Kluyveromyces lactis: one gene and its partner. The protein of the gene in region 1 interacts with the protein of each later gene in a pairwise test. Links are inferred from orthologs where the notes say so. Each region holds a gene or a part of one and is shown on either strand. Other genes may lie near its edges. The genes, in order: NAB6 and PAP1.

What was found.
Region 2: the proteins of NAB6 (region 1) and PAP1 interact in binary tests that used the Saccharomyces cerevisiae proteins (3 or more experiments, as listed by UniProt). The link is inferred for Kluyveromyces lactis from reciprocal best matches to the Saccharomyces cerevisiae genes NAB6 and PAP1.

The regions. Positions count from the first base shown.
Region 1 is NC_006040.1:127,706-132,155, reverse strand, and holds the start of NAB6 (Nab6p), read right to left. Parts: upstream 2,806-4,450; coding exon 1-2,805. Other genes in the region: DNA-binding transcription factor CAT8, read right to left, coding at 3,801-4,450. UniProt on the Saccharomyces cerevisiae protein: RNA-binding protein that associates with mRNAs encoding cell wall proteins.
Region 2 is NC_006038.1:1,161,427-1,165,215, forward strand, and holds PAP1 (polynucleotide adenylyltransferase PAP1), read right to left. Parts: upstream 2,513-3,789; coding exon 716-2,512; downstream 1-715. UniProt on the Saccharomyces cerevisiae protein: Polymerase component of the cleavage and polyadenylation factor (CPF) complex, which plays a key role in polyadenylation-dependent pre-mRNA 3'-end formation and cooperates with cleavage factors including the CFIA complex and NAB4/CFIB.

The DNA of each region.
Region 1 (4,450 bases):
TCTTTCCGCTTGAGGTGAAATAGATATTCCAAGTCCCTCACTGAAATCTGCATCAACCCCTAACGATAAGAAGTTCTTATTATCCATTGGGCGATCCAACTTGCCATTTGCTATAGAAGCATTCGCAACTGAAGAATGTTTTAAGTCAATGTTTGATGCGTTAGAAAATGTTGCACTCTGCTTACGTTGTCTGTGGCCCCTACTTGTGTTATTGTTTTGTGAGTTACGATTATGATTGCTACCTTTGCCGTTTTTGTTGAAGACCAAATTTCTGTTAATATTACCACATCTGTCCTTGCCGTACCCTATAATCAAACCCACATATCTTCCTTCAGTCTTTTTATGGAATAGATTATCCTTTGTGTCGGAATATTCTTCAACCAATTTTATAGCACTGCTAATGTTCATGAAATTTATCCAACAACAATGACCGTCTGAATGGAAGTTGACCTGTTCCATGGTACCATAGGCACCAAAATCAGATTTCAATTGTGCAATATTTGGAATCTTGTACCTATTTTGGTACTCTTTGAACTGAGGGTCGTTTATGAATTTATCCTTGAAGGCCTTATCAGGTAAGCTGACATAAACATTTCTCGATGCACCAACAGTAACTGCCAGAGCGATATTCTTAGGTAATGGACCAGGATTCTGACCCCAACCAACTTTTAGGACATTCCCATGTAATATGATTGGCTCAAGTGTAGTATTCGCATAAAACTGAACTGCTGCGGCAGTTTCGATGAATGTTACAAAACAAATCCTTTTATGAGATACCCATTTAATATGCTGCAAGATACCACCACGAACAACGTTACAAATGTCCTCTGCTTTAGACCTTGGGTTAATATTTCCGATATAAACAGTTCTGTGTTCCATGCCGGCATTTACCGCTTGTATGCTTTTGGAATATTGATTTTGTATCGTTTGAGTGATCTGGGGTGGCATTAATGGTTCCATAATATAAGGATATTCGTTAAGTAACATCTGTTGAGGAACAGGGTCATGACTAGAGATGGATAGAGGATCAATGTCATCCGAAAGATTACTGGATGAGAAGTTTGTAGTTCCAGATTCATGCATATAGAGAGTCGTTGGCTTGGAGATAGACCACGAGTTTAAATGATGGTCAAATTCGTTTACAATGGGCTCTTTGTACTCAGAGACATCTACAATTAGGGTGGACCAAGTTAGATTACCATCAAATTCTTCATAGATCGGCGTACTGATATCTGTAGATGCTGTGCTGACTTGTTCCGAAAGAGGCAACGACACATTACTAGAACGAGAGCGAGAGCGAGAATCCGTCGAGAACATTTGAGGACTTGCTTCTTGCTTTAACGAAATGGCGCTGCTTCTTCTTCTTCTCATTTCCTTATCTGCCGAATTGGCAGGTGTCACGAATGACACTCTTGATACTGCTTCATCTCCGGTTTCTAACAGTTCTTTAACTTCTAAAGCCATTGTTACCGAGAGAAAATGGAGTAAACAATAATGTAATCCGAAGTTTTTTCTCCTTTCATCAGTAGTAACCACATCTACATCAATAACAACATATTTACCTGAATTCTTCAAAAACGGGAGTGTGTCCCAAATAGTGTCTGAAGTAACGCTATCGTCCGCAAACTCGACATAAAGGCTTCTAGTGGCACCCAAAGAAATAACGTTCATCTTCAAGTTGGCCATCCATTCCTCATCGTCTTGAATCTTAACGAAGTTCATTGCTAACTGGTCAGACTTTACTGCGTTTTTGATTTCAGCATATCTCTGTAATAAATTATTGTAGAAATCTAGGCATGATTCTTTTGTGAAGAAACTTAAAAGATATGACTGTTGTGAACAACTTGACGGAGAAATGGCAATCTGTTTGGTTAAAGCAGGGGCTGATTCCTTATCCTTATCATCCTCTCTCTTGCTATTGTTATTATTATCAGCATTATAATTTTGATTAGGATCATCATCATTATTACTAGTATTAAGGTTTTCAATGTCATCGCCGGTGTCCTCATCTTTGATCAAGTAAATGCTTTCTATTGGGTAATTTTTTGCAACTTTTTGTAAGAACTCGACAATATCTAGCTCAGAATTAACATTTGTAAAAAGCAACGATCTGCTTCTATAAGTATCATTCCCCTTAGGTAGAATGCTATATTGGAATTGGATTTTCAATTCAGAATCGATAGTCTTTCGTATTGATTTGGGACCCGAGCTGCCAGACATGGAACCTGATGTGGAAGCTGAAAAAGATTGAGATCTAGATGCAGATCTAGAGCTGTAACCTCTTTCAACATCATATTCTGCTTCCACTTTGTTATTGTCACGAGAATGTTCTCGTTGTTGCTGGGGTTTGTTATCTTTTCGTCTTGCTCTTCTCAATCTACCAGATGGTGCTGGCCTCAATTTCGGTGCCGGTGGGTAGAATGATTTATAGCTTGAATTACGCAAATTCATTATGTTATTAGATCCTACTGGGACACCATTCGCTCCAGTACCAGCAGACATAGGTCCACCAGTTTGTGGAGTGTTTACAAACGGCGATCCAACTAACAGATGACTCGGCAACAGTGTAATCCCATAAACAGGATCAAATGGAGTCTGAGGAATACTAACTGTTCCAGGAATACTTCCTGGTATAGAACCTGGCATAGAACCACCACGATGTGTGTAATATATATACTGCGGTGGATGGTGATTCGATCCACCATTTCTTCCTGCCACATCGTAGACCTGTTGTTCGTAACCAACAGGCGGTCTCCCATATATCAGAGAAGGCTGATAATGATTAGCCGATGTTCCCGAATTCATTGGGTTTATGTATGCACGGTTTGTTTCTTCTTCAACGTTTCAAATTCTTTAATTCCACAAACATTCAACTCCCCTCAACAATGCTGCCAAAAATAATGCGATGTACTATTATCTTGTTATCCACAATTGTAGAACACCAAATATCCGAATCGTTGGAAATCTTGACTTTAATTCTTCCTCAATCAGAAGTACCCACAACACAAACAAAGGATGTTGATCTCTGTGACTCGAAAAGCACGATTGCTATACAGAAAAAAAAAGGTAAAAAGTGCTTCACTGAACGCTTATTCCTAAAGAGAAACCGAGAAATTTCAGAACGGGATGTGATGATAACAGTAAAACGAGTACTATTGCTACAATTGTCTTTGCTACTTCACTTCACTTGTACTAATAATAAATCACCGGTCCTAAAAAAAGATACCAATTTAAACAAACAGTATTCCGATTAACTGAAATTGGCAGTCAAAGAAGTAACCAAAAAAGCGTAGAAGTGAAATCGCCAGTAATATTGTGGGCAATCAAGCGTGGAATGGTAGAGTTTAAATCCTCTTGCGGCTATTGTTATCTTTATAGGCCTAAATGGCAAATACTCAATTCTTTGGTCTCCATTAAGTCTAACTGTTCTCAAGTTCTATTTTCTGTAATAAAACTAAAAAGGTTTCAAGTGCAAAAACAATTTTTTTTTTTGGTCTCACTGTAAGACAGAAGACACCCTTTAAGAATGTATGGCAATAAATGTGGTGTTTGGGTGTATTAAACATACAAGAGAAGCTGAACCCTGTATGGAGGGTTCAGTTTCTCTACTTGTCCTTTTTTACGTGGGAACTAGTACCAAGTTCATGGCGACTACGACTATGATCTGGTTATCTGGTATGTTTACGAGTCGAAAAGTGTATATGTATTATTATACTTCTTATCCAATGCTATATACAGGATAGTACTTGGTAATGATAGTATGAAGTTTGTCCTGATGTCCTTCGGAAGCCTGGCTACTTTCAATTTCCATTTTGCCAGCGCAGCAAATCGGACACTGATGAATCACCAGCAGAATTAGGGTCTGACGATGATGCAGCGTTATTCCAACGGCGTCTTGGTCCACGGCGATTGGTGCTTGAAATACTATTTGTAACATTAGCACCACCGGTATTGGTATCCGAGTTTAGTGTGCTGTTAGGCATGCCAAGCATCTGATGTTGATGCAATCCCTGTGCAGAGGTTTGCTCTGGAATAGTCGGAGAATGCATGGAATGGAAACTTCCAACATTATCTTGATGATGGCTGTTTTGACGATCTGATGTGCTGGATTGCTTTCCCATTGGAATAGATGAGCTGTTGTGGGAGGGAGGGTGGTGAGTCTGCTGTTGGTGCTGTTGTAATTGAACGACTGATGCATTAGTAGAATCATTGTCGCCAGATTCAAGTACAATGCCTGTCGCAGGGTTCAAACCGTCATTCCCATTGTTACTATTCAATTGAGGTTTAGCGTCCGGAGACCAGGCTAGCAATGGTGCTAGCCCGAGTGATGCATCTGCAGCAAATGAGAAACCATCCATTGCAGGTTGGGCACGTTGTTTGTTCAGATTTACCCCAGATGGGTGTTTCGATTCTCCACGTACATTGCTATATGGTAAATTTGTTCCCGACC
Region 2 (3,789 bases), on another chromosome or scaffold:
ATGGCCCTTAAATGGCTTCTTGAACCTCTTTGACAGATAAAAACCCTTCACAAGACACTTGTTACCTAAGTTACCTTCAAATTTCAACTTCTTGTTTCTTTTCCTTCACTCCCATTACTCGATCTCTTTCTGTCACGTTGCTTCTTTCTTTTACTGAAAAGTGTGGCTTTCTTTCATCACTATGGGTGTATTTGTAAGTTAAACTTGAAATAGGAACTTGCCTGTTGAATCAACAGCGGCTGAACCAGATGATACTGTTCGGGTATCGGTAACGTCTTGTTTTCTCGGATTTTATCAGTGTCTAACTGGCTAACCTTCTATCTCTTGTGGTTTTCCTTTGACTCTTTTTGTCCGCATCTGTCAATTATGTATCAAGATAAGGCACATAGCTGACTAAAAATAAGTACCAGTTAAACATATTTGATGATAGAACAAAAATATTCAGATTAGAGATGGTAGGTTTATGCAAAACAATGGGGTATGTGGCGGACAGCTTCACTATTATAGTAATGATCTGTTCTTTTCTGTGATATGAGACGTTTTTTTTTTTTTACTTAGTTTATCTAGTGGGAAAGTTGAGTTTATGTGTCGCGTTCAATGTAGAGAAACTTTTGTTAATGACTGGGGCTAAGGCTTGAGGGGAGACTCACGTTGCCTTGGCCATGATGCATTATGCGAACCCTGAAGAGGTAGTATGAACGGATCGTAAGACTTTCTATGTTGTCGCAGTCATTGGGTCTTCGGTGATAGCATTGGTATTACTGTTTGCTGGGACATTTGATGATGGAGTGGAATTAGCGTCATTTACTGGGGAAGAAGAATTGGTGTTGCCACTGGTAGTAGTAGTAGACTTGCCATTGGACGGATCGGATTTAGGTCTTTTACTCTTTTCACCACTTTTCTCCGGTTTCCTCTTCTTGCTGGATTTCACAGGACGTGTTTCCCCCTCTTGGTAGACTTCATCCGGTAAGTCATGCACTTTCACATACTTGATGATTAAAGAATACGTTTCAGGGTCCTCATAGTCGGGTAATGAGCGACACAAATTGAAAAATTCTTGACATGGAATGTGTATATCAATTTTTTTACTCTCTTCTGTGTTGATGTCAAGTCCAATAAACATCGTGGCTATGTGAACTTGATTAGAGTTTTTGGAGGCTTCATCGTCTTTGTTTGCATCAGTTATTTTTGTAAACTTTTTCAATACACCTTCTGTCTTATGTGTACCGTAGTTGTTCATGATCTCTTTATATTCATCCTCATTATTGTATATATAGCTGGACTCGTATGGTTCAATAAATGGATGCGCCAGATTGATTCCTGGTAAAACTTCTAGTTTTTGGACCAACAATCTGAGCTTACTTTCAACGAATCCACTCCATTTCAAGTGTTGTTCGTCGGAACCCTTTGTTGAGACCATAACCGTTAGGTAGAATTTATACTTGAAGAAGAAATCGTGTTTCTTGAACAAATCTTCCCATGATAGTTCATTAGAGAAAATCTTTTGTGTGACCTCTACACCTCTTTGTAATTCAGATAAGATCACTTTCTTAGTTGACTCACTGATGTTGTGGGTAGCACACATTGAAGGGTACGCTGGTGTAATCACAGGCATCTTGTGGGATCTATCCTGTGCATATATTTTGGGGTTCCACACGCGGACCTGTAAAGGACCATCTTCGATTGGCTTCAATAGGACAGGTTGTGGCCATTTCCAACGTGATAAAATCTGAAAGAATTTTGATATTATTACCGCACTGCATGCATTAGGGTACAATTGGCAGATTCTTACCACAAACATCGCCCATGCGACACCACCGGGGAACCCAAAGACGTTTGCATATACTGCTCTTCTCTTTGCCCATATCTTAATAGCTCTTAATGCAATCTTGAAAGATGTTTTATTAGGCACTAATTCTAAAATTTCATCGGTGACTCTGGTACCGTTCAACGCTCTTAGATCCTTTTCATCAACGTTCCTTAACAAATTCTTATCACTTAAAGTTAAACTTATTGGAACCTGGGGTAAATCTAGTTTAGCAAAGATTAAATCGATGGAGATTCCATTGAATTTGATCTTGATAATTGGGACGAAAGCATCTGGAACTGACGCAATTTCTTCAAGTTCTGGTCTTTCCCTCAACAGAGCATCGAATACGGTAAAGAAATCTTCTCTGGATACATGTTTAGGTACCACAATCAACGTATCAATATCGGAACCTGGACCATGGACCCCTAATCTATAAGAACCAAAGGTAAATACTTTACCACCAGCATCACGAGCCATACCATCGGACATGTTTTTCTTCTTTGAAACCTGATATACAAACTCTTGTGTCAATTTTTGGAAGATTTCTAATACTGCCACTCTCTTCCCAGTTTCTTCCTCCGTTTCGAAAGAGCCTTCTTTCTTAAGCTGTTGAATTAATGAATCGTTTAATGCGTTTTCGGCAGCAGTGGGACCCTCCGTGGAAATCGGGCCCGTTACACCAAAGATCTTTTTCTGGGACATTGTATTGGGATAATATTTGTTTCTGTAATCTGGTATATTTCTATTCCTTGCTCTATCCAGATAATCACTTCCCCCGGTATTTAAAAGGCTGTCCGCGGATTGTCTTCTTGGAATGTAGTTCTGAAACTTCTTTGAGATTGGAGACGATGTTGGTGAGTTAGCCGGTGAATAATAAACGTAATGTAGCCCTGGCTGATTGAAATATTGTTGCTGATGCTGCTGTCTTTGATTATAATGGTGGTGATGTTGCAAATGATGCTGATATGTGTTTCGGCTTGTATTGAGATTTAAATGCCGGTTTCTTTGTCTGGAGGGAGATGATCCTACACTATCAGATTCTGAACTTTTTCCCCCTTCCTCTTCTTCTTCTATTAGCCCTACTGCACCTAGTACTACCTCAGAAGTGATATCACAACCGGAAACCTTGAGCCCTGCAAGATCCGAGCTTATTGAATTCAACTGGTCGCCAATCACCGTCCTTGAATTATCGTAAGTGTCCTTGAAAACCTGTGCGTCTTGTACTGAAGTCGACAACCTGAATGAGTTTTGACTTGCTACGTCTTCCTAGATCAGAAAGAACCGTCAAAAGTACTCCTCACAAGTTAATTCGTGATGAGGATAATCAAATAAGTGTCGGATGTGTATAATCTCCGAGAGTTAATACACCAAAGTTCCAATGCAAAGGCTTTTTTCAGTATTTGTGAGTCTGACACTAACTTCTTTTGTTGTTGTTGTTGTTGGTAACAGGTGACCAATATCAAAAGATGTGCTCGTCACTAATTTGAACTAAAAACGTAACTAGCACAAACTATCCAGTTATATTCAGATAGAGAGAGACTGTGTGTATATGTGTGTAGACAAAAAAATCAGCCAGTTAATATTGTATTGTCTGAGAATTCCGTTTCCCTTTATTTCTTTCCTTTACCAATTCTGTCTCAGGAGTGTCCAGCGAATGAAAGAATTAAGAAGTTCAATTTGAAGGTACTGGCAAGTTTGGACCAAAGGGATATGTAGTGTTGGTTTTAACTTTAGCTTCTCCTGTTCACACACTCAAACCAAATAAAAGGTATAGTAAGTTCAAAAGTTCACACTTTGTTATATTATTTCATTTTGTACTAAATTTTTAAAGCCAGAAAAATTCAAAATCGATTTCAAGACCCAGGAAAAATCAATAATTACGTGAAAGACCCCAATCATAAGAATGAGCGAGCTTGAATTTGCAAATTGTATGTTCAATTTCCTGTAAATCTTATCCAACAATAATTCAATTGGAAGTA